3 linked regions of the Styela clava genome follow. Each later gene encodes a partner of the first gene's protein in a complex. Links are inferred from orthologs where the notes say so. Each region holds a gene or a part of one and is shown in the gene's direction. Other genes may lie near its edges.

Region 1 (11,524 bases):
ATTTTTGTCTGATTGAATGCGTACATTACCTTACGGTACAGACTCCCAAAATTTATCTTATAGTAACATATATGAATATATAACGTTATGATATCGTTTTCTTTTCAGGAGCCTGAAGCCCAACAAGCTCAACAAGAAGCCGTCGTCGAGCAGAAAGTAGAATGAATTGTTTGTAAAGAGGAAGACTATTGAAAAATAATATATATTTTTGAACATTTCTTGAATTTGAGTAATATGACTCATAGAGAACGGTAAATTCCATTCCAATGTGTTAAAATGAATCATGCCTGGAATATGATACTAAAATGAGAGTAATGTAATAAACCCCTAGATATATATTTAGCTTAATAAAAATGTCGAAAGGGATGCAAAATACTTTTCACTTGGAACACAGTTTAATATGCTTTAAAGGTGAGACGAAACTACCAAAATGTCAATTTCTTAAAATATTTTTACTCGTTCTGATTTACTGCAAAATGCTATTGTGAAGTTTGTGTAGTTTCGGAATAATTCTCCCAATTGATTTTTGATTATAACCGTCCATGACAATCAAGTTGATTTTAAATTAGATGTGTATCTGTACTTAAACGTTTCCCTGAATTAAGCATAAAATTCACGAAAAGGTTGTTTTATGTGATTTAATCATGCAGATATTTTTTTCATTGATCCGGATATCTCACCTTCCCGTATATATTGTGATTTTTGCAGTTTTTTATATAAAACCATAGAATTTTATTTTCCTGGTATTCTTTTTAATTTTTTTGCTTCTCATTTCTGTTTATAAATAAAAAGGTTTCTGTCTTTTTTTTATGATTAACTCGTTTAAATGGTAATACAACAGTTTGAACACATATTACAAGACAGTCATAAAATTTTTGCAAAACGGGCATGCCGGCATGCATATCAAGTCAAGTAAAGTTTATTTTTTCCAACCAGTAAAAAGAACACTTTCTCCTCTGTATGTATTTCCTTCCTTAGTCAAAGGTCAAGTCTGTCACTGACTCATGGTGAATTTCACGATGTAAAATAGACGGAATATGACCGCGGATATGGGCCTTGATTTTCTAGGGTTGAATCAAATATTGTTTTGAAATTTACCTTGCGTATGACAAACAACGAATTTTTTTGTAACCATCCGGTGTTGTTTTGATGTTTAGGTAATATAAAAAAGTCTACATGGTAAACTTCCGTCTTAACTTTTGATAAAATCTAACAGTATAGTAGTCCATGATAGAAAAAATAGGTATGGGCCATTGCAAATACGGCTCAATATCAAGAAAAATGAGTCTCATTCGCTAATTTCCTTGTATCGTTACGTGCTTTGAACGCCGTCTTCGATTATTTTTATTAAATTTATAAAAGTGGATATATATATAATGGTTTTTCTATTTACAATATTTGAGGAATTTGCTTCAGGGTGTTGTTATAAATATGGTAAATAATCTATTTTGCAGTCGATAATGCAGCTTACAAGACCCGCGGGCAATTCAAAACAGACGAATAGAAAATACATAATATAGACAAGCAGTGTTACCTATAAGTCGGTTAACTTTTTGCTAACCTTCTCCGAAGCCGGAACCTTTTTTATTTACCCTCTAAATGAGACCCAAATCAATAAGAGTACCACTTGGTCAGCGTGGCCATTTCCAGAACCGACCCTTAAATAGTGCATGATTATATACTCTGGACTACAGACTGGAAAATATTTTCCTATGTATAACCATGACAATATGTTATATCAAGATTGGGTACTCCCGTAGGATGTGTAGGTTAAGATCAGGCCATAAATTTATTCCGATTTTATTTTTATTTCAGTTATATTACGAGTTCGGGAATTGTCTGGGTCAGCCAGGTGAAACCGTATACCCCGTCCCCCTACCCATAGGCACCGTTCCTTTACACAACTTATTGTAAAGTAAGCGAACAAAATTAGTTACCTCTACATTGGTACACACACTTCTGGAGCGCGCAAGAATGTTATACGCTTTTATCAATTCTTTTCAATGACAAATGAGATACGTGCGTGGAGAGAAAGCCGATAAGTAAATGTAATCAAATGGAAAAAGACACTAACCCAGTCAAAAGACGTAACGGCGAGCGCCGATCTGTGTATGAGCATTATCCAAAACCTCATTTAATTAAAAAATCTTCAAAACATCCTTCCATAACAAACGATATGGCACTCAAATGTTAATCCCCATATAAAATTTGTGTTAGTGTCTGATCGAAATGGGTAAATCCGAATAATTTATCATATATATATAGTAAAAGTGGAATAACTAATTACATGCAAACAATCTTAATTTGAAAAAAAGGTACTCAAATGTTCAATCAGATAATTTGTAAAAATAGGGAATACTGCTGATAACGAACCTTTCGAGAACTTTAATTACATAGTTGATACCAAAATCCATAAATATTCGTTTGTCTATTCATAGTCGGTCTACATTCGAATTTTTACTATTGTATATTGTTCCGTCAGAAATTTTTAGGACAATGATTCGAATGTCAAAACCAATTATTAGGTTTGTATTTTCTTTAAAAAATTTACACCGATGCCAAAATAAATACATAGTTAAATTTATTCACAACAATAAATTTTTTTAGTGGACGGATATCAAAGATATGCCATGGAATTGAATATATTTTGCAGCTTACTAAATCACGCTTCGACGACCGGTGCATTGTACTCGGGAAAGGGCGTGCTATCAGTCTCCCTGATTGCCATATCCTGTTCGCATCCCATGTGTTAAGTGTCGGAGGATTGCTGGCCTTGCTTTTGTAGTTTGGCTCATATCACTGCTGGTCGGTTACGGATACATCTCTCACCATGACTATTCGTTTTGAAGAAAAAAACTGCGGACAGGGAACAAATTCTTTGTAATCCACAAACGAACTCATTTCAATGCATAAACACAAAAATTGATTTATTTCGTAACAATGGTTGTTGTACGGGCTTTTTTTTTGTAGCAAGTAGTGTAAGTAACGTGTTTCCCCGAAATTAAGACCTACCCTGAAAATAAGACTTATTCAATAACGCGAATATTTTTTTTGACCTAGTCGTTAGCATGAAATCTCTCCCACAAATGGTTTGAATGAATCAAACACGTTTGATATAATCTATGTTTGGCGGTTCTTTTGAATAAAAACGTGTTATTTATAAGGAAATATAATTTTGTAATTTCGATTTTGATAAATAAAAATATAAGACATTCCCCCAAAATGAGCCCTAGTGTTATTTTTCAAAAGAAAACTGTAAGTAAGGCCCAGTCTTATTTTCGGGGAAACACGGTAAGTGAAAGCACATGTTAGTTCGTGAGGTTCACTAGTCAAACGTTTTAACAAGTAGTTGTAATTAGCGCTTCAGTTCAGTTTGATATTCAAAATTTGGCATTAAAATGGCTGGAAAACGTAGAAAAGTTTGCGAAGAGGGCAAAGTGCTTGGACGGAAAATATTTCTTTGTTGAACATTATTCAAAACTTATCTGCTTCACCAGCATCGTAGTTACGATATGTACTGCGGATATCATCAAAGTTGCCAGTTGATTTTTTAACACTTTGGCCATCACACAGAATTAACATAATCCTTCACACTAATGAGGTAAACAAAAGCAATATAAATTTTGAATGATGATACCGAGAAAACAGCCACGTACACGTCTCAATGAGATTTGAGATATGCGTTAAACACATGAATAGAAGTTGCGGGTGCGGAATAAAGTTTTATGTGATTGTTTGTTTACAGGCGGAAACTAATGCGCCACGCATACTACCAGTAATGTGTATATTTGGCCCAGTAGTACTTCAAGTTTGCTGACCGCCGCTTCGGTATTCAGTATGTTCGTATGTTTCCCCGCTTTTTATTTTAGGAGAGGGAGTTCCAAATTTGGGTGGTGATAGATATTTATTTGACTGATCCTCTTCACCGGCATATAAGCCACTTCCTAAATATTCAAATACATTTTTATTTACGTTGAGAATTAAAGTAAGGTGTCACACCTGATATTTAGCGGAGTTGAAATTTGGGGGGTAGGGAAATCACTGCCGCCGCCCTACATAAACTGTCAACCAAACCGGAATTCTTGACTGTTACCATGGATTGCAATTTTGGGTAAAATATTGGATGTCACATGGCTCAGGAATTATAAAAAGAAGTACCGCTAATAGCATTCTATTGACATTTTGGAGAAAAGCGATAAAAAAGTCTGTAATTACCGGTATACAAAAAATAGAAGAATACGACGATTTTGAGGACAATGGAGTGAAACACAAAACAAAAGAAAGAAAAATACGGGTCGTTTACTTTTTAACATTACAGAGCTATTTTTTAAAAGCAATGTGAAAATAATTGAACCAATGAATGATCAATATTCAAAAATGAGAGTCAAGTGGAAGAACATGGCGCGGCGGTGTGGCTCAACGGGCTAAGCGTTAGGAATACGCTCGCCACCGCACCTCTAATTACTCTGCGTGGGTTCGCAGGTTCGAATCCCATGCAGGGATGGTTATGTGCGAGAGGATTGGTGGACTCCTCGCCGTCGTTGGGTGGTTCACGTAACCGCTGGTCGGTTACGGCTTCCTCCACCACCAAGTCCAACAAACAATACAGTAAAACTAATCCCATACCCGACTTGGAATGGTAACCGGACGAGAGGCCGTGGTTCGCCATATGGATAAGCCGTCTTATCGGCTTTCTTCTCCCCCGGGATAAATATGTAAATCCTATTCTATCCTAACATGCGTCAATCAATATAATTGAACTTATCATAAACATTAGATTAAGTTTAAGTCACTAAAATGCAACTACGGTACTACGGTATTTTCTATATTTAGGTTAGTGAACACGTAGCACTTCGAATTTAAATTCTGTGCGCTATGAATCCCATTTTGGGTTTTGTTTGCTCTCCTTATTCTATAATCAGTTTTCATTTATTTATTTTTATAAACAATTTTATCGTCTGTTGTGCCAATAACTTTGTTTCGTGTTATGGTTGTGCTAATGATGGAGTCGAAATAAACTACGCCGAACTATCCTGCATGTTGACCTGAGACATGAAAATCGCAGCCTACCTCTGTGATAAAAGTCGTTGGGAAGTACGTAGCTGCAGATGACAGATGCAGATGGACTGCCAACAGGGGATAAAATAAAACACTGGTTCATGAATGAACCAGGTATATGTGTTATGTGTGAATGTAATATTGAAGAGACTTTATGTCATTTATTTTTGGAATGTCAATGGGCTGTTGATTTCTGGCAATGGTGCTGCGTAGAAAATAATCGAATTACTATTTTAGCAAATGATTCGGAATGCAAATCTAAATTAATCACAATATTATGCGGAAAATCAACAATTTGGGAATATAGAAATTCAGTAAAATATGATGAAATAGTTAAAAGTAAAAGCAGTATGCGCTCAATATTCAAATGTAAACTGATAGGAGTTTTAAATTTAATGAAAACAAGTGAAAGAAATGATTTACTATTGTATGAACATATGGATGATCTCATACATAGGTCAATCATGATGTGACATGACATTGACATTTTCTATGCAACACCAACTTAAATGGATAGTACATGAAAAGATTCCAATGTCCAAATTTATGCATCATTTTGATTTAATTCATACATAGATAGTGAATAGAGAAATGCCAAAAAACCCACTTTGGCTGTTTTCTGATTTTCTGTCTAATTTTCTAATTTCCATGCAAAAACTAACTAAATCGATTAATTATTGGTAACTATATATAAAATGTGTGCACGAATTGGATGACGACTGATAATATGGATAAACCTATATTCAATGGATATAAATTGGACTATATATGATACAAAACTCCGGTAATGGTATGGTTTTATATTTTAATTGTTACATATATTATTGAACTTGTGGGCAATGTGTTTTGAAATTATGAAATTGTTTTAATTGGGTGCAAATTATACTAATTCGACAATAAAATTAATATACGAAAATTCCGTTTGGCATTGGAATTTATTTGGCAAAAAAAAAAAAAAAATGGAATTTATTTGGCAAAAAAAAAAAAAAAAGCTGCAGATGACATTAAAGCGGACAAAACCATAAGTAAGGTTTTAAACGTACACATGTTAGATTGAAAGGTGTTGTCGAAAGAAGTCAGGAAGTGGTAAGTTACGTCTGTACGTGCCCGCTCACCCAAAAGTATTACCGGTACCGGTAACCAACAAATGAATTATTGGAAGTCCCTGGATTATATGGAATATTATATCTGATGGAATTATCTTGATATTACTGATATACGGTATATGTTTGTTCACTTGCGGTACACAATATATCTTTATTTATATTTAATTTATTTATTATTTACATATTGAATAATCCACATTGTGGATCCATTTAAAAAAAAAAAAAAGTATTAATTTAAATAAAACACACACACACATACCTGCATACTGCAGTAGTCTACTGACTGTATTCTGTTGATCACTAACTGACAAAACTTATTACCGAATATAGGTCAGATATTTAGAAAAATTGGGTTGAACTGGGGTTAGTCGGGTCAGTACGATTAGTCTTAAATTTGACTTGAGAAACAAGGAAGCGAGAAATAGTAGAGCTGTCAGGCTGTACAGTTCCACATTCAGACCATACCGGTACTGCATTAAAATATAACTTAACTAGGCCTATAATTTATTTGACTGTTTATGCTCTAATGATTTCTGCTAGTAGCGTCGTTTAGAATTGTTCCAAAATTTATCAGACTTCAAAAATATTTATATCTTTTATCATTAGATTTAACATCATGTCTAGAATAAGTTTGGAATCCAAACTTCCATCAAGTACCACTCCATCTTTGAAGAATTTAACTGTGAAAGATTTTTCTAAACTTGGAGAAAGTCAAACGGAGGCTTTACAAGCTTTAACCAGACCTCATGTCGATTCTTTCAACTGGTTTTTAAATACTGGTATCAAATACTCGGCCAGACTTATTCCTCCCATTCAAGCTCTTGTCCAAAATCGTCGTTTCTCTGTTCAATTCGTGGATGCAACTATCGAGAAACCACGTGTTGATGAAGGGTTTCGTAATTGTCGAACATTAGCTGTATATCCATCAGAATGTCGACAGCGTGGGTCAACATATCACGCTAAACTTCACGCTACCTTTTCGTATTCTATTGATGGAATAAAACAAGCGAATATTCCTGTCATGCTTGGTGTTATTCCAATAATGGTGAAATCAAATTCATGCAATTTGAGTGGGTTAACTCCTAAACAATTAGTTGCAAAACAAGAAGAAGCAGAAGAAATGGGTGGATATTTTATTGTGAATGGAAACGAGAAAGTTCTCCGTATGTTAGTAATGCAAAGACGTAACTTTCCTCTTGGTGTTGTCAGACATTCATGGAAAAACAGAGGCCCGAACTATACAGAATTTGGCATTATGATGAGAAGCGTGTCTCCAGATTTGAATGTTGCCAATATGGTTGTTCACTACTTGCGAAATGGCACTGTAAACATTTGTATTTTTCATCGCAAAGAAATGTTCTACATTCCACTGATATTTATGCTTAAATGCCTCGTTGATAAATCTGATGTTGAAATATATAAAGAACTAACAAAAACCAAGGAAGATGACACATATTTCAAAACGTGCATTCAAAATATGCTCCGACAAGCAAAATCACTTAATCTACATTTGCATAAAGATTTCACAAAGTACGTTGGAGGAAAATTTCGTATTAAACTAAGTCAGCCGCCTTGGACAACCGACGCTGAAATAACGAAGTATTTATTGCAACACAACGTTCTTGTTCACTTGAAAAACAATGAAGATAAGTTTCATTTACTTTGTCACATGGCTCAAAAAGTATTCGATCTTGCTATGAAAAAATGTGTCCCAGATAATTTGGATTCGGTCCAAAACCAAGAGGTGCTTTTACCTGGCCATTTATATCAAATGGTTTTGCGTGAGAAAATGGTTCTATGGCTTCTTACTCTATCTAGGCTTATTGAAAAGCAATCTAAGCTGAGTAAAAATCAAGGTCTGTCAATGCTAACGTCATCTGCAATACAAAAAGCAATGAGATCTGTACCTGAAGTATCCAATGCTATGTCCTACCTTCTCGCTACTGGAAACGTCACAACAAAATCAGGTTTGGGTCTTCAGCAAACCACTGGACTAGCTGTCGTTGCAGACAAGCTCAATTTTATGCGCTACATATCACATTTTAGATGCTTACATAGAGGATCGTTTTTTGCGGAAATGCAAACTACTGAAGTCAGAAAATTACTCCCCGAATCATGGGGCTTTTTGTGTCCTGTACATACTCCCGATGGGTCTCCTTGTGGTTTAATGAATCATTTAGCGTACATGTGTGAAGTGGTGACAAATCGTACATCAAATGCTGCTATTGTACCGATGCTATATAATTTTGGTATGATAGGGCCAGATTCATGTCAAGTAAAAGGTCCTAATTATTACCCAGTTTTACTAGATGGGCTTTTAGTGGGATGGCTATCAAAAAAACTAGCGAAACCCGTAGCGGATATTTTGAGAACTAAGAAATCAAATGGGGAAGATAAAATACCGAACACCCTTGAAATTTGCCTGATTGAAAGAACTGAGAAAATATCACAATTTCCTGCTCTTTTCCTATTAACAGACGTAGCACGTATGGTCCGACCAGTGTTGAATTTAGAGACAGGAAACGTGGAAATGATCGGATCATTTGAACAGCCATACATGGATATTTGTATCATTCCTGAAGAAGCACATGAGCATACAACACATCAGGAACTTGTTCAAAATTCTACACTTAGTGCTGTAGCGAGCATGACACCGTATTCTGATTTCAATCAATCCCCCAGGAATATGTACCAATGTCAGATGGGTAAACAGACCATGGGAACACCATGTCAAGCGTTGTCTTACAGAGCTGATAATAAATTATACAGAATTCAAACTCCACAATCGCCTATGGTGCGACCATACATGTACGATCATTTTAAAATGGATAATTTTCCTTTTGGAACGAATGCAGTGGTTGCTGTCATCAGTTATACTGGATTTGATATGGAAGATGCCATGATCTTGAATAAAGCTAGTTTTGACCGTGGTTTTGCATATGGTTCTATTTATAAAGGTGATCTTATTGATTTGGTTAAAATAGTAAATGACATTTCAGTTAAAGTTACATTCGGAACTTTGCCATCTGATAAAATTTCTGCGGAATTGGTGAAGACTGGAAAATTAGGAGCTGATGGTTTACCAGCAGTTGGCCAAAAGCTTGTTTACGGAGATCCCTATTACAGCTACGTGAATGCCGGTACTAAAACATTTCATCTTCAAGTTTACAAAGGACAAGAAACAGCATATGTTGATAACATCAAGGTTTTGAGCAATAACATAGGAACAGGATTGTTCAAAAGGGTGTATATAATTTTACGAATAACACGCAACCCGATTATTGGAGATAAATTTGCAAGTCGTCACGGCCAGAAAGGTATCTGTTCCCAACTTTGGCCCGCTGAAAGCGTTCCTTTTACAGAATCTGGTTTATTTCCTGATATCATATTCAATCCCCATGGATTTCCATCTCGTATGACAATCGGAATGATGATAGAATCTATGGCTGGAAAAGCAGCGGCTATGCACGGTGAACCATATGATGCCACACCATTTTCATTTTCAGAAAACGATTCAGCTATTGACCATTTCGGTAAAACCTTACGAAAAGCAGGGTTCAATTATTACGGTACTGAAAGAATGTATAGTGGCGTTTCCGGCCTTGAACTAGAAGCGGATATATTTATTGGAATTGTTTATTATCAAAGACTGAGACATATGGTATCTGACAAATTTCAAGTTCGTACAACTGGCCCCGTTGATCAAATGACGCAACAGCCTGTACAAGGCCGAAAACGTGCTGGCGGAATCAGGTTTGGTGAAATGGAGAGAGATGCATTGGCCGCACATGGCTGTGCTATATTAAACTATGACAGGCTTTTATTATCATCGGATCAAACATGGGGCCATTTATGTGAGAAATGTGGCAGCATACTATCGCCTATTTTAGAGCGAGATTTGAACAAAGGCCGTCTTTATGGGCTCGGTCGCAAAACATGGAAATGTTTGACGTGTGGTTCATCAGATAATGTTGTTTTAGTTGATATTCCATCAGTGTATAGATACTTAGTCAACGAACTAGCAGCGATGAACATCAAAACTGTGATACCTTCTCGGTAAAAGGATAAAAGTGTGGCCAACAGCCACAGGCAACAATTGTCTCATTAACAGAAGTCATCCTATAATGTGTTTTTCATTAAATATTCTGTAAATACAGCTGTACAATGGGATTCAGTGATTAGCAATCAAGTTTGATTACAATAATCATTTAGTTTTCCTCTGTTCCACTGCCATATTATTTGTGACCTATCGTATGTCAACCAAATTTTTTTTTTTTTTTTAAAAAAGTGACTCAAATTTACATACCCAAATTTTGGGTAGGAAAATTTTCATTGTTTTCATTATTTCAAATTAGGCCTATTAATCAAATCATGTTTGTGTCCATGTTCAGGCTTCAATTATTTTGAACTAAGCAGTATAAATATAAATATAAAACTTTCTGGAAATTTTTAAATAGAATTTCATTTTGAGTTCTCAATATTTAATTGCCATGTTTCTATAGCAAGTCATATTAATGTATAAATTTCAATCAACTTTTGGCCTTCATTTTAGGTTAAATTTTCTTCTGCTATAGTTTACTTGCATTCGATTTCTAATCAACAGGAAAGCCAGCTGTTATTTCAATATGTTTTTCAAGTTTTGTTCAACCTATGTTTACGAAGTGAACTTTGTCCTGTTTACGAAGTGAACTTTTGAGGTGTAAATATGACATGTGAAAATATGTCATCACTTTCTATTTGAACAGTAATTTCATTACTTGCTTGCATAGGTGTTTACCGAAAGTGCTTATATGTACCTATTATAAATATTAAATGATAAAACTGAAAGACTGTTAGTTCTTTAAAATAGAGACAACATAACCTAATTAATGTATTTGGCACTTTTGATGAGTTTAGCACATCATTGCTAATAACTTCAGCTAACTTTCTTGTTGTATTATTTGAATACTGTTCAGTATGGACTTTCTAATATGTAACTTCCTTGTTGTATTATTTGAATACTGTTCGGTTTGGACTTTCTAATATGTAAAGTGCCACAAAACCTCTAAAATATACCTCAATGTAGGTTGTTTGTTCCTGGCTCTATTCCTATTTTGAGGCTACATTTTCCGGTAATTTCATCTTTATTATTAAGCTGATTTACATATGTAATGTTTTATTTGAAAGGTTTGCATAATAGTAATAATAATTGAGATGGTTTGGGCCGCCAACCGGTGTTCTGCCTGTAATTTAAAAAAGTTAAATATGAGAGCAGTTTTATGCTGATAGTGCATTGCTTTACACTGCCAAGTGCCAATTTTTGGATTTTGCTTTGGTCTTTAATTTTAATTAAGGTCACACATTTTGTATTGAATATAGTT
Region 2 (11,736 bases), on another chromosome or scaffold:
ATCAACAATTTGGGAATATCGAAATTCAGTAAAATATGATGAAATAGTTTAAAGTAAAAGTACTATGCGCTCAATATTCACAGATTCCAGGATTCAAATGCAAACTGATAGTAGTTTTAAATTTATTGATAACAAGTGAAAAAAAATGATTTATTATTGGGTACTCCTGAAGTATGCGCTCCAAGATGTCGCATAACCTGAACCCTAACGTGTTACACAACTTGAGTTCAGGTTGTGCGCCATCTTGGAGTGCATGTCACCTCAATCATGATGTGACATTTTCTATGCAACACCAGCTTTGATAAATATTATATGGGAGGATTCAAATGTCCAAATTTGTGCATTATTTTGATTCAAGATAGTGGATGAAAAAATGCTGAAACACCCACTTTGGCTGTTTTCTGATTTTCTGTCTAATTTTCTAATCTGCAAAAATGAACTGAATCGAATAATTATTGGTAATTATATGTAACAGAGATGGCGAACCACTAACCCGCGTGACCCACTGTCCTATTTTGGTGACCCACCAAGTCACGAATCAATGCGAAGAACAAACCAATATTTTAGGTATAAAAATGATAGAACTGACCTTAATCAATCTAACAATAAGCTGTTTCAGGGTTTAAGTGTATGCAATGCTGAAAACTGCACAACATGATCCCAGGATTATAAAAACGATAAGATGCAGCAAGTTTCTCATTGATGAAGAATTTTGTTAAACCTATAACCATATTCTTATATTTCATGATAACGCTTATTGTTTTGCGTATAATGCCAAAGTTTGATCATGAATGACAGACAGCTCTGCTAACATTACTATTATAACACAGATAAATGTGATGCCGGGCCGAAACGTAACAGTTGTAACTTTACAGTTTTAATTACGATCGAGTTGTTGTTGGCAAATTTCTTTCTATACCATTCGGAATAGAATTAATTCCGTTTAAAGGATTTGAAATGGTAACCCATTAGATAATTTTTTGACAATACTAGCAGACTAGTGGTAAAATACATGCAAGCAAAAGAAAATTAGATGCTGGAGTCGATAACTTAATTATTGTGTGACAGAAACTGGATCAAAACACGATTAGCCTACTAATGAGGGAGTACTTCTGTCTGCCTGTAGTTTATTAAAATAGTAGTACTGTATTATGTGTTAGTGTTACTACCACTAATAAAAGCCGGAAAAGCTACCGCACATCAGCATTTGGTCAGATTGTACCTAATTCAGTACTGCAGTAATTAGATATAAAATCAGTGTTCTCTTTCATGCAAAGCCCCTGTCAAGCATTAAATTGCTGAATTGAGTGCTTTTTTATATGTATCGCTACAATACCGGTAAACATTTCTTAACAGCGTATTGCTGGCATACCGTATCGAATAGGTCATTATTACTGCAATAGCTTAGGTGTTTCAAAAGTATAACAGCCCGGAAGTTTCTATACCAGTACACATTTTGGTATCTTCTGTTTGATTATTTCTGGCCCAAGCCTCGTTTTAACTAGGTTTGTGTCTTTTGTAATTTATTTTTGTCTGTGTGTTGGTGGGCGGGCCCATGATATTTCATTATTACTTATCGATCTTAAGATCCGTAAGTATATTGATAGGTATTTATGTCTGTATGTATGTATGTCTGTCTGTCTGTGTATGTGTCTGTTAGATGAACGCGATATCTCGCGAACGCGAGGTTGAATCTGCTCCAAATTTTGCATGTGCATACATCATATCTCGGACCAGAAGCCTATTGATTTTGGGTTAATTATGTCGTATAATTAGCGAGTTATTAACTAATTACCGATCTAAGATCGATAAGTCTTAGGTCTACGATCGATATTCTCGTTTCTCATGTTTTAAACTTTTTTAAAGGTTTTGCTTGCCCTCCAGAAGTCTCCATTTTAAATCTGTAAATATTATGGAGTATTTGAATAAACCATCTAGCTACAAATAAACAATATCCATTTTTTATGTCCTTTTTGTCGTGAATGTCTAGATATAGAATAAATTAATACTGCAGTACTGTAAAAGAACCTCACAGCTTCATGTCAAACATATTTTGTGAATTGCCGAATGAAATATGGATCAAGATACTGCGAGATGTTTCTCTTGAGGATCGAATGAAAAATATTCAGTTTGTAAACAAACAGTTTCATTCTTTTTGCTCTGATCGAATGTTGACATTCTCATTAAACTTTGAAAATTGTATCTTTATGTCCGACCGATTATGCTTACAAATTTTGAGAAATGCGAAGTCATGGCTTCGAAAATTATCCTTTCATAATTGTCATTGGTTTCCATCATCAATGTTTGGAAAGTTTTCAAATTTACTAGCTCTTCGATCGTTGGATTTGAGAGGATGCATTCTAACTCCCATTCAGTTGAAATCTGTTTTGTGCAAAACGCCAAATGTAAAGAGCTTGGTAATATCCTCTTATGTCGAAGATATACGGGAGCTATATAGGTTGAACGTTCAAAAATTAAATATAAAGTTAGACACCCTGCATATTGATGTATGTGGTGAAGCAAACATAATTATTTATGTATCAATACTTTTTGAATTGTTCGCATTAAAATATGCAAGTTCTGTTTCATTTGATATACCTGAAAAACAGAAAAATTTTATCATGGATTATCATCTTTCACCGTATGCAACAACAAGGCTAATGTATTCTTATGTGATTGATTTTGTAAATTATAATAACATTGGAAGCATTTGTCGAATGCTTTCCGATGCCAATCTTCACTATGATGAAAATGGGTTTGCTGCTAACAACGGACTGATAAAACTAGAAAATTTAAAGAATTTAATACTTCCAACTGTGCGGGGTATTCCATATGACACTGATCATCCTTGTCGTAAAGCAAATACACCTTCAGTTTTGCCTAACCTTGAATACCTGAATGTAGATTTTAAAATTTGTACTCTGTGTAAGAATTGTTATGGTGATGTTATACACGCTCTTCTGCATGATTGCGTTTATCCAAAGCTTCGATACTTAAATATTGGGTTTAAAGATCTTGAAGATGATATAGGTTCAGTTTTTACTATTTCTGACATGTTTTGGTGTAATTTTTCGAGGTTCCAAAATGTTGAAGAACTCAATTTGAAAGGACTATTAGTACATTTTAATCTACTTGCCACGTCTGTCAAAAGCATGCCCAAATTGAATGCATTATCAATTACTTTGCCAAATATGACCGAAGATCAAATTTCTGGGACCACGAGCAAAGAAATTGACAAGTCAAGTAGTACCAGAGGTATGAGAATTTCAAGAACTCGTCCAGAAGTTAAAATCACCACTGATTTTGCTCTAACACTCCAAACCTGTTCAAATCTCAGAAAATTGGAGCTGATGGGACATTTGAATACTGTTTATGATATCGCAACCTTAAAATGCATTGGTGAACTACAAAATCTTCAAGTTCTATCTCTAATGAATATACACTTGAACAATGTACACAAAATTTCCACAATTTTCATGAACAATTATAAATTGGTTTCATTAACATTGTGTCATGTAGGAGAAGGATCGCTATGTGAATATCCAAGGATTTTGGGAAATGTATTGAAGAATTTACCGAATTTGAATGAATTACGCTTAAACCATGACTTGTTATTGATCACCAAACGTTTGCTAGATTCAATTTGCACTTGTCAGCATCTTGAGAAATTGATCTTAAAATCTCAATCATCTTTATTAGAGCCATCTAGATTTGTTGTTTCTTGTGTAAAAGTTTTAATGTCCAATTGTCCACGTTTACATTTTCTTGCATGCGATATACCAGGTTTTTATCAGTCCACGTATTCCCATGTCAATTCATATCTGAAGGTGTTAGATAAAGCTGGTCGTAAACCCTTAATTTTTTTGAAAGGTGATCCCAAATCTCGAGAGAATCTCTCTGCTGCTAGTTGGCTAAAATTAATTGACTTTGATCAATCAGTGATCGCTAATTACAATGCTTATGACGTCTTGCATAATTTATGAATATATTTCACCTGGGTAGCCTATATGCCGTTCACTCATTTTGTTATTTTTATATGACTTGCTTGGCCTTTATATACATTCATTTCCTTTAAGCTATTATACCTTATCTATTATGTCATAGAACAATCAACACTGTTTGGGATTATGAATTTAATACCTGTATTGCTATGAATATACATAAAAACTCATGAAATTGTTACCATTTATATCTTTTCAACTGCTGCCAATATACATCAAATCTAGCTTCTATACATTTGTTCATATAATTTTATAGACTATTAATCTACTGCTGAAATATCTTCCTGGAAGCCCGAAAAAAAAATATGCTGCTGAAATATAATTTAAAAATAAAAAAAATAGTTACCGGTATATTTCATTTCCCATAGTTATAGCATTAAACTTTCAGCCTGAAAACAAAATATGTTGATAAGATATAATTTTAAGAATAAAGAAAATTTCCCATAGGTAAATTAAAAGCATAAACCCGGATCATTTATTTGTTCTTAGGACTTAGGAGCAGAATGAATTGGAAGTGACATCCTCGGTTATAAAACAATATATTGAAGCTTTTTGTCATATTTTTTTATATCGAGTATGTGATGGATAAATGATTCAATAGATTTTTTAAAATTGAAATATTGTCTATAATTCTGCGGATCACATCCGTTTTGGTCAGTATTTATGCTGGCCCCTTTACAGATAATGTTTCAATATATATAACCTACAAATGCTTCTTTATCATATATTTAGATTACCCTGAATTACATAACTTGTACAATCAATCAACGCAGTCATGGCAATGAATCCTGAAACATACGAGGAATTTCAGAGACAGATAGAACTTCAGAAAGAAGAAAATACTCTGGAAGAAGGCGGGGGTGCAAAGGTCAAAGTTGATGAAGATGGAACGGAGTATGAGTGGGACGAAAAGAAAAAGGCTTGGTTTCCTAAATTAAGTGTCGAATTGATGATGAAATATCAAGAGAATTATGACGCTGGAACAGAAGTAGATTCATCACATAAATTCACTTCTTACACAGATCCTGTAACCAAAGTAACTTTTCATTTCAACTCTGAAACTTCAAAATGGGAACCAGAACATAATGAAAATGGAGAGCCTTGCAAATATACAGATCCAAATGGGGTTATTTATGTATGGAACAGTGACCAAGGCAAATGGGATTTAGAACTTTCAAAAGAACTAAATGGCGATTCAACTAACAAAGACAGTAATAATGAGTCTACTAGTACAAACGAGTCGCAAAATGATAGTAAGACTGAACATACATATACAGATTCGAACACGGGAATACTTTATAAATGGGATTATGAAAAACAACTTTGGGTTTCAGAGGATGGTCAGGTTATGTATCCTTCTGGGCATGGAAATTTTACTACGACATCATACACTGATCCTAAGACTGGAGTGATTTACAATTGGGATGAAAATAAACAAGAATGGGTGGCAGAGAAAAAAGTTAAAAATAAAAAAGAAAATACAAAGAAAGACACCAAAAGGAAAGCGTCTGATCCTACCTGGTTTAAAGTTACGGAAGATAAAAACACAAATGTTTATGTTAGTGGCTTACCACCAGATGTAAGTTTAGAAGAGTTTGGTTCTATCATGTCAAAGTGTGGAATCATAATGCCAAATCCTCATACCGGTAAACCCAAACTGAAGTTGTATAAAGACAAGGAGGGTAATTTAAAAGGTGATGGCTTATGTTGTTATTTAAAAAAAGAATCGTTAGATTTGGCAATGCAATTATTAGATGATACTTTAGTGCGTGGGGGATACAGAATTCATGTACAAAAAGCAAGTTTTGAACTCAAGGGATCTTATGATCCATCAAAAAAACCAAAAATGCTGAGCAAAAAGGAAAAAGCACGACTTCACAAAGAACAAGAAAGGCTACTTGACTGGAAACTAGCAAGAAAAGACGCTGTAAAAAAAAGTGAAAGAGTACTAATATTTAAAAATATGTTCGATCCTAAAGAATTTGAAGAAGATGCTGTACTTATTACAGAAATAAGAGACGATCTTCGCAAAGAGTGCGAAAAATTTGGGGATGTGAAAAAGGTTCTTGTATTTGATCGCCATCCTCAAGGAGTCTGTTCCGTTTCATTTAAAGATTTTGATGAAGCTACAAAATGTAGGGATGCAATGAATGAAAGATGGTTTGCAAAAAGAAAAATTTCTGTTGATCCGTGGGATGGTGTTACGGACTATCAAATCGAAGAGACTGATAAAGAAAGAGAAGTTCGAATAAAAAACTGGGAGAAATTTCTTGTTGAGGATAATAAAAAGGAAAATATGGAGGAAGGAGAAAATTCCGAAGTGAAAAGTGAAGCTGAATCATGAGGTTGTATAATGTTCTTCGTTGAATGAAAATGTAACTTCACTTCGTCACATAAGGGTATGGAAGATAGCTGATATATGCTGCTTGAAATATTGTGTCGTAGTTCGATCTGCTGACTCAAATTGTTAAAGCAGCTGTTGTGACTGATCAGTGAACTATCAATCTGGTTCATTTCAAAACATACCATAATCATATTTCAAAAGTTTGAAGGCCATTGTTATCTTTATCAAAATGCAAAGACATTCAAGATATCAATGTGACATCTATTTCGTGCAAAATCACATCAATATCCATGTTGCAAAGTCTATTCTATGAATTCTTTATTGCCAAGTAATTTAACATATTGAGTTATTTCTTTGTGGAGAAATTGTACAAATTAATCACAACTAGTAGATTAACATTTCTCATTATTCATTTCTCACAATCCTTCAAGTCATTCGGTAATGTAATGTTTCATACAGATTTTCTTGTTTTTGTTTTTGAACTTTGTCACCTGGGTTGACTGTTCTTAATGAAATGGCTCTGCCTTTATTATCACCAGTGATACGGTTACCTCTTGAGTAAATCTGTTGCAATTCTTTGAAAATACAATTGTCTACATACAAAGTTTTTAGGCTATTCATTATTGTTTGCTTAGAGCAAACAGCCATATTATGGCTTTATTGCTAGAGCACTATAGTATGATGTATATTATAGATTCAAACAAACAACTTTGGCACAATAATTGAAAAATAATATATTGTTTTGATATTTAATGAAATATACATTATGAAATTTGATTTTTGAATACTATTACCAGAAATCTATACTGCTTAAAATTCAGAAATGTTACTATTAGATTTAATTTTTAGGTTGCGATTTTGTTGTGTATTTCTTTAAGTTCCATTTTCAGATACAAATTACGACTGCAATGTTATGCTTGCTGAGTGGATGATGTGACCATGGATTTCAAATAACTTTGCTCTGTATTTATGTGGATAATATCACCGCATTTTTGATAATGATTACCGAATATGTGAAGTTGTCCCTTAAAACGTAAACAGTCCAGAATATTATAAATTGAATTTCAATTATCCATGTACTTCTTATATAATTTCTTAATATTTTTTTCCAGATTATACTTCATATTTGATATATTGTACAATCTAAGTTTTTGAATAATGACTGATATGAAGAGCTCCGGTAAAAAGTCTGTGCGATTCGGTGGACATCTAGCTGATGTTATAGAAGAAAATAAATGTGGAATTCCTGAGAATTACATGCTGATTGTACAACAAATAGAAGACCCATTAATCAAATCAAGTCATCTCAGTGAAATGTTGAAACAATTTATTGACATTGTTAATATCCTTGATCAGGATCAAAAGAAATTAGTTCATCGAATGCTGAGCATAAGATGGGTCAATCGAGAAAAAGAAGTAATCGAATTATTTCAGAAATTTCTACTTGAACTTGTTGCTGCCAATTCTGTCCACCAACTCCAAGTTTTGAACTGTCTTATTACTCATTTTATTCCTGCATCTTGCTTGTCTAATCTCACATCGTGTGAGACTTGTGTACCCCAGGAAGAAATATTTCATATTATCCATGGCACATTAAAGAAAATTTTTACCCTTATACCATTGACAACTAACATAGTTTTGCCACTTTTAGTTTCACATTATCCCTTTATAAAAAAGGACAAAGAAGCATTGGATTGGTACATCAAGAATTTGCTTTTTCTGACTACATACCGGGTTAACTTGCGACCGCAAATCTTGGAACTTATCATAAGTAAATCCTTAAAACTAGATACACACTGTCCAAGAGAATCTATAAAGAAATCAATGACTACTGAAGAACATGATCTATTTGAAATGGAAACTGATAATTCAATGAAAAAAGAGGGTTTTGTTGACAAATTGGATATTGTGATGGAAACTCTACTTCAGTTCATACATGATATTTGTTATTCAAATGGGGAGTTATCACTCCAAGCAGACACTCTATTAAAAGAATTAGTCTCCATTTTTGACAAAGTGATTCTTCCAATTCATGATAGCAGTCATATTCAATTCCTAATTTTTTATATCTGCAGTTTTGAAAAATCATTTTCTGAGACTTTTCTCAACCATTTATGGAGAAAGGTTCAAGATCCAAGTGCACCTATGATATTACGACAGACGTCATTGTCATATATAGCTAGCTTTCTTGCAAGGGCAAAATATCTACATTTGAATTCTGTACTGACAATACTAAATGCGATGACTGTATGGATACATTGCTATATCAAAGAGAGAGAAGGTTTATACGACTATATCGGACCTCTACATGAAACTGTACGCCACGGAGCATTTTATAGTGCGTGCCAAGCTGTATTTTATATTATTATATTCAGGCATAAACAGATATTAGACCTTCCAAAAGGATTTGAAATAATGCGCAAATTCAATTTAGAACATATTATTATGAGCCGTCTGAATCCATTGAAATTTTGCATAAGCACTGTGGTTGGTATGTTTTCTTCACTAATGAGACAACATCAACTTGTCTATTGTGACACAATAATAGAAAGAAACAACAGAATGACTTTACCTGTGTGTGGTCAATCAAAAAACTCTGCTTCGGTTAACCCACTTGATTGCTTTTTTCCTTTTGATCCATATTTGCTTAAGAGTTCAAGTCATATGATTGAAGAAATATACCAAGAGTGGGAAGGCCGCGTACCAGAGCTCAAAGATGAATCGAGAGATGAAGATCATCATATTGATAATGAGCTGATGAGTGCAAGCCCTATTTCTATTCCAAGTATATTCTCTCAAGATAAACATTTTATTGACTCAATCAGTGGAAAGTCAATGTCTCCTGGATTTTCATTATTGAACAAGTCATCGTTCTAAGGGAGCTAAAAGACACATTTAGTCAACTCCTATCCTTTTACTTTGATGGAATTTTGTTTTATACAAGTCAGAACTACGAAACAAGTATTCCTGTACATGCATCCAAAGAAAATCTTATTTCTACAAAATTTATAATACTTATATTTTTTGAAGTGAGAAAAAAGCAGTCTTTCAACCCAATCTTTGAAATAAGGTTGGGATTTGATTCTAAGTACAATTTTAATAACGGAACTGGTACCATTAGTTGTATTGTCAAAATATTTGTTCAGACCAGAAATAACACGTCAAAATTTCTGATTTTTTAAATACAAAATCATAAGTAGATTTATTCGTGATAATTTTTTGTGTTGATACATTCATTGTTTCTTTTCTGCTGCCAATGTTGATGATCATTATGTGCCTGTTATGAACTAACTATCTTTTTGTTTTCTTATTTCTCTCCTATTGCTCTCATTAGGTTCTTTTTGTTTTCTGATACAGTTTGAGATTTCAATCACATAATTACTAATGTTTGTTGCATTTTTTCCTGCCAAATCATTGTACAACTTTTTTTTTTGCAGACACTATAAAAATTGAATTAATTTTAGTATTTCTAGCTTTTTCTAGAAGCTTTTTATAACAGACCAGGTAAGTTTCTCGTTCAATTATATTAAATACTGATAACTTTGATATGATCAGGATAAATACTTCTTATTTGAAATGCTGTGGAGATGGAGTCAAGGGAACTCCAAGGCTTCTGAAAAGTCTTTGATTGATTTTTAACAAGAACTTTGACTCTGCCAGCGAACCGAAAAACTGAGGAAAGTTTTGTCTCCTATTACTTTTATTAAAAGTCTGAGATCTTGACTCTCCAAATTTATAATTTTGCTCAAAATTGCTGTGAGTTTAAAATGGCCATACTGACTCCACCGCCTCGATTATTTATATGGCATATACAGCATTTCAAAATTGATGTTTACGACTGTATCTATATCACAGATACTATACATAACTTGATAACGTGTCTTCTGTGAATTTATACTATCATTCATATTTCGTCTGCCAATTGCATTTAGATAAAGACACTACAGTTTATTATGTTTTTAGGTTTTATCATGGGACCCTTGGACCTGGATCGTATGATTGAAATTGAAAAGAATTGTAAATATCTTCCAGAAAATGATTTGAAAAAATTATGTGATTATGTCTGTGACCTTCTACTTGAAGAATCCAATGTTCAACCTGTCTCTTCACCTGTGACTGTTTGTGGGGATATTCATGGACAGTTTTATGATTTATTAGAACTGTTCCGGACTGGCGGAGAGGTGCCAGAAACCAACTACATTTTTATGGGTGATTTTGTCGATCGTGGATACTTCAGTTTGGAAACATTCACATATCTATTAACCCTGAAAGCAAAATGGCCAGACAAGATTACTCTTCTCCGTGGAAATCATGAAAGCAGACAGATCACGCAAGTTTATGGTTTCTATGATGAATGCCAAATGAAATATGGAAATGCTAATGCTTGGCGTTACTGCACCAAAGTTTTTGACCTTCTCACAGTTGCAGCTATTATTGATTCATGTATTTTGTGCGTACATGGTGGTTTATCTCCAGATGTGAAAACCATGGATCAGATTCGCACCATCGATAGGCAGCAAGAGATTCCTCACAAAGGAGCGTTCTGTGATCTTGTATGGTCTGACCCTGAAGATGTGGAAACATGGGCAATAAGTCCAAGAGGTGCCGGCTGGCTTTTTGGATCTAAAGTGACCAACGAATTCGTTCATCTCAACAACCTGAAATTGATTTGTCGTGCTCATCAACTTGTACATGAAGGGTACAAGTATATGTTCGATGAGAAATTGGTCACTGTCTGGTCTGCACCTAACTACTGTTATAGATGTGGAAATATAGCTTCCATTTTGCTTGTTCGTACGCCTGATGACAGAGAAGCCAAACTCTTCAGGGCTGTTCCAGATAATATGCGTGTGATACCTCCCAGGAACACTGCACCTTACTTTTTATAATGTGATTTCGTCTGTCACATCTCAGTATGAATATTATTGGTTGACATTCCATATCAACCTAGCAGAGTGCACTTCAGTTTACTCTGGCGTTTTTATGATGATAGACAATACCCAAAGGATAATATATAGATCCAAGGATGTACTTTGTAATGCACTTGAAGACCCCAAAGTGATAAATTTTGGAACCGCTTGAACATGTATATATGAGTATATTACTTATACAACTCGTTATATATGTTTCAAGTGGATGGCTAGCAAACCAGCTGCCCTTTATCTATTGGCAGCATGAATATGATTGTATAAGTCAAAGTTACAGTGTGTTTTCCTTTGATAACTCTGGATTTTTTATAAAAAGTTCATCATCATATACATTGAAATTATTATCTTTTTCACATAAGAAATATTGTTATGTTATTAGGTTCTCTTTCATCTTGCTCATTAATTCGCTGAACACTCCACAATGTCCATGCTTGAAAGAAAATTTATGACATTGTTTTTCTGT
Region 3 (9,432 bases), on another chromosome or scaffold:
TGTGTGTCCGCTATGGATGTAGTTTCTTACCTCAATAACTTCTAGTTAACTTAGCGTAACAATTTTTGCATATAATATTTATGACCTTCACATGACTTCGTCATCCAAAAATTACGTCACGGCAACGTCACAATAACGAAATAGAGCTTGCTCAATAATAGCGACGTTATTCGTAATGGCACCTATGGATGTAGTTTCCTACCTCAATAACTTCTAGTTAACTTGGCGTAACAATTTTTGCATATATCATTCCTGACCCCCACCTGACTTCGTCATTCAAAAATTACGCCACTGCAACGTCACAATAACGAAATAACGCTTGCCCAATATTAGCGACGATTACTAGCAATGCCACCTATGGATGTAGTTTTTTACCTCAATAACTTATACTTATCTTAGCGTAACAATTTTTGCATATATCATTCCTGACCTTGCCCTGACTTCGTCATCTAAAAATTACGTCAATGCGAATTCACAATAACGAAATAGAGCTTGCCTAATAATAGCGACCATAATGCAATCGTGTTAAATACGCCTGTCTGTCCGCTATGGGTGTAGTTTCATACCTCAATACCTTCTATTAGGCTTAGCGTAACAATTTTTGTATATATGATTCCTGACCCTCACCTGACTTCGTCATCCAAAAATTACGTCACTGCATCCTCCCAATCACGAACTAGAGCTTGCCTAATAATAGCGACGATAATAAAGCCGTAATAATGGCGCTATGAGTGTATTTTTTTACCACACAACTAAAGCCTTGTTATTTGATGTCCTTCCGTACGTCATGTATTCGTCCTACCTTTATTCATAAGACGTGAAACAATGTTAAGATCCTTCAAATGTTAATACCACTACAATGTTTCCAGACCTTTTTCATCTTGCGGTTCACTAACAGCGAAATATTAAGAAAAATGTTTTCTGTTCTCATACCGATCTTTGAACACTCGCTCGCTAAAATTGGTTAACAGAAATTTGACATAGTGGAGGAAGTGGTATAGTATTTGATCTCCAAGTAATTCAGGGGAAATGTGAAAAAGGATGAAAGAAGACCATATTTATAGGCTCTTCAATTTTCTAACTGTTGAAATTTGGAATGGATTCGACTTCAAGCGCAATCGATAATTAAGCATTCGTTCACAATCCTGAGTTAATTTCCAGGATGCATCTCTCATCTATCTGTCGTTACGTTTGTTACGATATTTGTATTAGTGTTTTTTGTCAAACCTGTGCATCATAATGACGCACAACCTGAACCATAACCTGTTACAATACTATGTTCAGGTTGTGCGCAATCTTGGTGCACAAACTACGCAAGCACCAAATTTACTAGGAAATAAAATCGATACCTTCTAGGTATTTGTTGAGCCCAGCTTTGGGTCGCGACCCATATACAGTATATGGAAATACTGTCGAAACATACGCGTAAAATAAAGAGTACTATTTCAAAATACCCGTTTTTTGTTGCAATTAACAGTACAAGCCTGCTAATGTAGTCGCCAGTGGTTCAAGTGGATATACACCCGGTGGAGAACAGTCAATTATTTGTTGGCGAGAATTGTTATGCAGCGGGATGATCACGACGACGCAGTGAAAGATAATGATATCACGAGAACAAGAATGAGAAAATTGCTACATTTTATAGTATATCCCTGGGAAAGAATGTAGTTCATTCTTATGTTCCATGCCAATGCTTTTCAAACTACCAAAGACTCTCAACACTTTTGCTTCTTCTCTTCTATAAAAATACATTGTTATTATATATTCGCATTTCCATCTGTTTGTTCGTGCTCCCAGATAACCGATCAGCGCCTCCAAGGAGGACGGGGTCCCCTTTCATGAAACCCTGTCATAAACTAAAAGAGGCGATCGTGCTTCTCTTGCCTGTTGTCATGCTGTCCCTGGAATTCAGCTACAACAAAAATTTCACGAAAACGGATTTTTAAATTTTATGATTTCAATAATATTCTCAACAATGAATGATATACGGGTGGTAAAATGCCAAGTTATTCCAACAACATGATCATGTTTTGCAATTTACAACCAATATTTTGTATGTAACTTTGTTTGACAGAGCCCCAAGAGCTCTAACTACAAATTTCAAAAATGTGAGGCTAAAATAGTCACACTACAACATTGTCAAATGTGCTGTATTTACGATAGATAACAGGTTTACCAAAAAGAATTACATGCAAAATGGTAAAATAAAGATCAATTCAGCAATATCTACTTGGTGATATTCATCTGTTGATGATTTTATGTGTTTGTTTCGGAAGTTTAATAACAGAAGTAATTGTGGTTGTTGGGGATGTTTTAAAAAAGGTTGCATGGAAAAAAGTTTTCACAAAATGTCAAGGTTTGATAGTAGTAGAGAAGTAGAAAAAATACTTCCATGTTTTTTTTTATTTGATAACCACGCCACAGAACTTCCCCGATAAGTATACGCAGCAATTGCGAGAGGCAGAAATGCTAAGATGGGATTTCATCGCATTATAAACCAATATTAGCAATTCTTATATATATTCGCGCATTCCCAGCTGAACAGCGTGAAAAAGATTGTACCCATCTACACACTTTAAGAACTATGTCAGATGAGCGTCATATTATCGAATATCAGTAAAGGAATAGTGCAAAGGGAAAAGACATATAAGGCGAAACTTTCAGTAGTATGCAATCAAATAATCTTATTGTAGAATATATATTTAAAAACATTTCGTCACGCCAACTGCAGTCCGAAACTTTTTGTCTCTGGCTGAGCTTAGATACCAATTGGCACTCATGTAAACTGGTAAGACTGTAAGAGGCACGCGATGGAGCAGATACTAAGAGTATCCATCCCCCAGCTGTCATTTGAGTGGGTACTGCTGTTTTTATTGCAGATGTTACGGATCTTTTTGTATTAAAGATTTACTGGCATCACCGATTTAAGGATGTTGGAAACCAACCCGCAATATTACAAAACTTACTTCCAACACGCGGTTTGAATGAATGAAAAAGCTGAAACTAGTATTCTTTAGAACAGCATACAAATTCTATGGAATGAAATCATACACAAAAGCTCGTCAAAAACCTATAGCTCAATAATCAAATGGAATTTGATGCATGTGCGCAAAAATGTGCTCGTTACCACGTATAACCGAAGCACGCAGGAATATGCGTGTGATGTACTAGTATTCAAAACGTTTGACTCAACTATGTTGGCATAACAGGTGCACATCTCGGTTTCGCATACGCATACCTTCTATCTCCACAAGGATATATTAATTTTGCCAAAGTCAATGCAGCACTGAAAAGTTGCGGTTCTTCCAAAAGAAAACACGTTACACATCTTTAGATACCAGTGGATGGTATTACATGGCCTTGTTCGGAGTGAAAGACGAGGTCAAATATTCCAATCCAATTCAACTAATAAAATATTTCCCAAGTCCCTAAGCTTAAACTAGGAAAACGAAATGCCAGATGTAGTTTGAAGAGCGCAATAGAAAGTGGATAGATGCTGTCGATGGATCTTGGTTTGTATTAGTGAAATAAACTACCATTTATTCTACTAAAATTGAATTTCTGACATTGTAAGGAGATTCAATGTTACTATGTATGCAAACCTAAACCATGTAGTTATGAAATAATTGTTTTTAACAAAAAGGCGCTCTTGAAGTATTTGTACCAAGATGGCGCACAACCTGAACACTGTATGGTTACCAGGTTAGGGTTCAGAATGTGCGTCATCTTGGACCGAATACTTTAAATCCACCTATAAAAAAAAATTGCTCAAGATTACTCCACACCCACCTGGGTATCATTATATATGTCATATACATTATATCTAAACAATAAAAAAAAACTTTATGTTCCAAAACAATGTTAAGGCCCGATTCTGCCGGACTATCTTATCCAAAATGTATAGTTTACAAAAAACAAATTAAAATATAAACCTCACTGATAAATGGTGGCAAAATACACCCATATAATGTGCACGTAAATTAATATGTCCGTTTCTGCTTGTCTGAAGCCCTGCTTAGAGTGATATCGCGTAACGTCATATTAATATATTGTAGCCCAATACATGATCTATGGCTGGACATAAAATAACAAGTCCCTCCTTATGTGTGTGTGGTAGGGAGGCCGCTGCCCTCGCTGAGTTTGTTAACGTAGTCGCAGACGCCATTACGGGTGATCAGCTCTATTTTGTTACTGTGACGTCGCATTGGCGTAATTTTTTGATGACGAAGTCAGGTGAAGGTCATGAATATTATATGCGAAAATTGTTACGCTAAGCCTAATAGAAGGTATTGAGGTATGAAACTACACCCATAGCGAACAGACAGGCGTATTTAACACGATTGCATTATGGTCGCTATTATTAGGCAAGCTCTATTTCGTTATTGTGAATTCGCATTGACGTAATTTTTAGATGACGAAGTCAGGGCAAGGTCAGGAATGATATATGCAATAATTGTTACGCTAAGATAAGTATAAGTCATTGAGGTAAGAAACTACATCCATAGGTGGCATAAATAGTAATCGTCGCTATTATTGAGCAAGCTCTATTTCGTTATTGTGACGTTGCAGTGACGTAATTTTTGGATGACGAAGTCAGGTGAAGGTCATGAATATTATATGCAAAAATTGTTACGCTAAGTTAACTAGAAGTTATTGAGGTAAGAAACTACATCCATAGCGGACACACAGACGTATTTATCACGATTGCATTATGGTCGCTATTATTAGGCAAGCTCTATTTCGTTATTGTGAAGTCGCATTGACGTAATTTTTGGAACATGAAGTTAGGTGAGGGTCAGGAATAATATATGCAATAATTGGTACGCTAAGATAAGTATAAGTTATTGAGGTAAGAAACTACATCCATAGGTGGCATTAATAGTAATCGTCGCTATTATTGAGCAAGCTCTATTTCGTTATTGTGACGTTGCCGTGACGTAATTTTTGGATGACGAAGTCAGGTGAAGGTCAGGACTATTATATGCAATAATTGTTACGCTAAGATAAGTATAAGTTATTGAGGTAAGAAACTACATCCATAGCGGACACACAGGCGTATTTATCACGATTGCATTATGGTCGCTATTATTAGGCAAGCACTATTTCGTTATTGTGAAGTCGCATTGACGTAATTTTTGGAACATGAAGTCAGGTGAGGGTCAGGACTATTATATGCAATAATTGTTACGCTAAGATAAGTATAAGTTATTGAGGTAAGAAACTACATCCATAGCGGACACACAGGCGTATTTATCACGATTGCATTATGGTCGCTATTATTGGGCAAGCTCGATTTCGTTATTGTGACATCGCATTGACGTAATTTTTGGATGACGAAGTCAGGTGAGGGTCAGGAATGATATATGCAAAAATTGTTACGCTAAGATAAGTATGAGTTATCGAGGTAAGAAACTACATTCATTGCGCTAAGGCAAATTAATGTGTCGGTTTCTGCTTGTCTAAAGCCTTGCATAGAGTGAAAGCGTTCCACGTCCTATTAATAAAATGTGGCCCAATACATGATCAGTCTCTGGATATTAAATAACAAGTCTTTATGTCTGCGGCACCTAACCTCAATCATTGCGTGAATTAAATGTTCTTTCTGTTTGTCTAAAGCCTAGCTCAGAGCGGTATCGTATATCACCCTATTAATAGATCGTAGCACAATACATGAGCTATTGCTGGACATAAAATAATAAGTCTTTATGTGTGTGGTACCCAACTTCAACCATCGCGTAAAATAACATGTATTTTCTGCTTGTCTAAAGCCTTGGTTAGAGTTGTATGGTATAACGCTCTATTTTAGATTGTAGCACGATACATGAGCTATTGATGGATAGAAATTGGTCAGAATGGGATATCGTGAACGTTCCTCGGCGACAATTTAGTCGCTTGTGATTCTTGTGTTTATTTTGAGCTCTGTACAACGACCCCGATAAGAGAGAGGTCGCTGACGTATTGAGTTTGTTGACATACTCGTAGGCGCCATCACGGGTGACCGTCGCTATACTTTGGCAAGCTGTATTTCGTTATTGTGACGTCGCAGTGACGTAATTTTTGGATGACGTCATCAGATAGGGGTCAGGAATCATATATCCAAAAATTGTTACGCCACGCCCACTAGAAGTTATTCAGGTAAGAAAGTACATGAGACCCACACTTATTGAGTTTGCCACTTGCTACACTTTAAAGATTATTTCGTCTTTCCAGAATTAGGTTTGCTTTTTTTTGTATATTCATGGGGGTTACTTGAGTCCCTGAAATGTTTCATGTTGCCACTTGCCACTTTAAAGGATAGGATATGATTTACATATTTATCCCGAGGGAGAGGAAAGCCGATAAAACGACTTAATCATATGGCGAACCACCGCCTCTCGTTCGGTTACCAGTCCATCGGGTCTTACGAGGGCACAACAAAATTTGCTATTGCAGTATTGGTTGTATGCAGTTTACAATTTTCCCAACCATGGCATAAATGTTAGCATAAATAATCCTTACGAGTGGAGGGCAACTCGCCATGGCTGCATGGTGGCTAACTCATAACCATCCTCCCTACTGCCTCTCAGTCTCGCATCCTTAATGCGAAATTTCAACAATGTTTTTATACAGGTATTTAGCTCTGTTCTGTAATTAGAAAAATATGAATAAATGTATGACAACAGAAGATGGTTTTTGTTCAAAATGTGGAGCCATTTTACCACTGCCTGTTGATTCTATGCAATCATACATTACTTGCATCTGTAAGTCAAGAATTCCATGTTCAGAGTTTAATAATATGATTGTAGCTAAAGCTGATATAATACTAAATGAAATTAGAGGCAAATCTACAAAGAAAAAGGCAAGGGATGACAAATCTTCTGGTCCTAAGTTAGAAAGACTATGTGGACATTGCGGGCATAATGAAATGACATACAAAACTCAACAAACTCGATCAGCAGATGAAGGAATGACCATATTTTATTATTGCTTGAAATGTGGATCATTAGAAAAGGAAGATTCGTAGAGATTCAATAATAATGCATATGAAAATGTGTGTCTGGATGCCACAGACTGGAAAATTTATGATGAGTGCGGGGAAAGATAAGATGCTGTTGCAGTTATACTGTGTTTATTTTTATCGATGTGTCAAGTTCATGCATCGGGAATGAATAATTGGTTGACTATTTTCATTCCCAAATCCCAACATAGATTGGAACCTAAATGAGAGAGTGGTTATATTAAGATGTATTATAGACTTTCCTCTTGCTGAGTAAAATATTGAAATCATATCCTAATTCTATTAATGTAATAATGAGTTCTGATTCAATTGAGGAGACTGCTACTAATTTTTTTAGTGTACACTGATACATAAGCATAGCTATTCATTTTGCTGTGAATACAGCACTGTGAATCTTGTTTTAAAATACAAGACTTTGACTGGACTCTGTTTTGTTTTCTTGCTATACAACTGATGGTAAAAAAATTTCAATCGAATTATAAAAAATAGGAGTGTTTAGGAGAGTTATCATGAACAAAAAATTTTTTCAATTTAATTCAGTTATAGTTTAATGCTTAAATATTACCTACAATTGAAAAATACTTTGAATACTTCAATATGGCACTTATTCAGGATGGATGGTTTCGTGAAGTGAATAAGTTTTGGCCAGGCCAATGCATGTCATTAAAAGTGGAAAAAATTTTATTTCACGAAAAATCTGAATTTCAAGATGTTCTTATTTTTAAGAGGTAACTTCATTTTTAATGTAGAATAGTTTTTGTGTTTGCTAAGGCATATGCCACTCACTGCATTAATTATATAAGGCAAGAAATAGTATTCCCGTTATATAGTATATATTTTAAAGTTGAAAACATATTTGTCTTATTTTTTACGCATTTACGCAAAAATGAGCTAAAATTCTGATACCTTGCTGCCTTGTGGTACTAAATTACTGCATATGCATTTTTTAAAGTAAAAATCTGGTTTCAGCACAGATCATGGAAATGTTCTTGTTCTCGATGGTGTTATCCAATGTACAGAAAGAGATGAATTTTCTTACCAAGAAATGATTACACATGTGCCATTGTGCAGCCATCCTAATCCGGAAAATGTTGGTATTTTACTTGATTTTTTCTTCAGATATTTTATGGTAAAAATATAAAACATAAGTTGAAAGGTATCTGACTTTGCTATAATACATCTTTGTCAAGTATGCATCATCAGAATTTTAGTCACCCCAGGACCGGTGAGCCGAAGCGGTAACATTCGTTAGAGCCAAGCTTTTCATAATGAATATACCTGGAACTACAAGAAGTTGTAATGCCTCCATTCAATTATAAATTTTTATTTTAGTATTCTTATACTTATTCAAACCATGAATCTATTCTTTTCGGATTATGCTTTTTCAAATTTAATTTATAATATTAATTAAAAGTTTCCAGGTTGAATTTGTTATTTAAAAGTTCAGTTTTAAAATTTGAAAGGCTTAGGCTATATCATAGTTTTGAGAAAACCTTAATGGCTTGGAGCCCAGCTCTGAAGTAAGCAATGAAGTCTTATAGTCAGATCTGGGGCCACAATTTCAATTCAGTGTGTGCTGGTCTCAGCACTGTCAGTCTATGTAATGCACTCACTCCTTCATGGTTTATATTGTTTGCAGGTTCTTGTTATTGGAGGAGGAGATGGAGGTGTTGTTAGAGAGATTTTGAAGCATGACTGCGTAAAAACTGTAACACAGTGTGAAATTGATGGGGTCTGTTTTTTTTTTTTTTTTGAGAATATATGCATATCTTATTAAGACTGAGGGATTTTTTTTTTAGGGCAAAAGCTTTTTTTATATAAAAGCAGTATTGATCACATAACCACAATGTTCAATAATCAATCTTGCAATGTGAAAATATTATGTTACATATTTCCACCTGTCTCCTATTTTTGTAAGAATCTTGTTAATTAAGAGCTGGATCAGAGTCAGATCATTTGTGGATTCACAAGCTATTAAATTTTGTATCAAAACAAGAGAGTTGATGCTCAAATATTTGGACAAAGGGGCCAAAACAAAGCAATATTAAATGTTTTACAATACCGGTAGTCTGACCACCAGATCACTGAGATATGGTCATGGAGCCTTGGTACGCAATTTTTAATTTTGATGATGTCATCACTCATCATTCAAACTTTGAAGTGAAAAACAAAATGCCACAAAGTCCACAGATATTTTGGAAATAAAAAATCTAGCAACAACAACAAACTTTATCCACTGAAAATTTCAAATAAATTGGTCCAATAGTTGAGGGGAAAATAGAGTTTATTGCAACAACAACAACATAAAAAAACGATCCATAGATCCACTCCGTAAGTCTAATAAGGTATCTATTTTGAGTCAATGAAATTAACGTTCTGTTTCATATTTTATACACTGAGGAGACTGAGTAATTGAGTTACAATTTGGTTTCTTG

The links.
Region 2: DNA-directed RNA polymerase I subunit RPA2-like (region 1) and RNA polymerase I-specific transcription initiation factor RRN3-like share a complex: the UniProt entries of both Homo sapiens proteins name them as parts of the pol I pre-initiation complex. The link is inferred for Styela clava from reciprocal best matches to the Homo sapiens genes POLR1B and RRN3.
Region 3: DNA-directed RNA polymerase I subunit RPA2-like (region 1) and DNA-directed RNA polymerase I subunit RPA12-like share a complex: the UniProt entries of both Homo sapiens proteins name them as parts of the pol I pre-initiation complex. The link is inferred for Styela clava from reciprocal best matches to the Homo sapiens genes POLR1B and POLR1H.

The regions. Positions count from the first base shown.
Region 1 is NC_135261.1:7,949,471-7,960,994, forward strand, and holds the start of DNA-directed RNA polymerase I subunit RPA2-like, read left to right. Parts: upstream 1-6,770; 5' UTR 6,771-6,780; coding exon 6,781-10,224; 3' UTR 10,225-11,524. Other genes in the region: uncharacterized protein LOC120329666, read left to right, coding at 109-165. UniProt on the Homo sapiens protein: Catalytic core component of RNA polymerase I (Pol I), a DNA-dependent RNA polymerase which synthesizes ribosomal RNA precursors using the four ribonucleoside triphosphates as substrates.
Region 2 is NC_135259.1:10,557,222-10,568,957, reverse strand, and holds RNA polymerase I-specific transcription initiation factor RRN3-like, read left to right. Parts: upstream 1-7,436; 5' UTR 7,437-7,503; coding exon 7,504-9,222; 3' UTR 9,223-9,226; downstream 9,227-11,736. Other genes in the region: 17S U2 SnRNP complex component HTATSF1-like, read left to right, coding at 4,777-6,345; serine/threonine-protein phosphatase 6 catalytic subunit, read left to right, coding at 10,317-11,234. UniProt on the Homo sapiens protein: Required for efficient transcription initiation by RNA polymerase I (Pol I). Required for the formation of the competent pre-initiation complex (PIC).
Region 3 is NC_135256.1:9,244,556-9,253,987, forward strand, and holds DNA-directed RNA polymerase I subunit RPA12-like, read left to right. Parts: upstream 1-6,640; coding exon 6,641-7,003; downstream 7,004-9,432. Other genes in the region: spermidine synthase-like, read left to right, coding at 7,595-7,725, 7,967-8,087, 8,637-8,729. UniProt on the Homo sapiens protein: Core component of RNA polymerase I (Pol I), a DNA-dependent RNA polymerase which synthesizes ribosomal RNA precursors using the four ribonucleoside triphosphates as substrates. Can mediate Pol I proofreading of the nascent RNA transcript.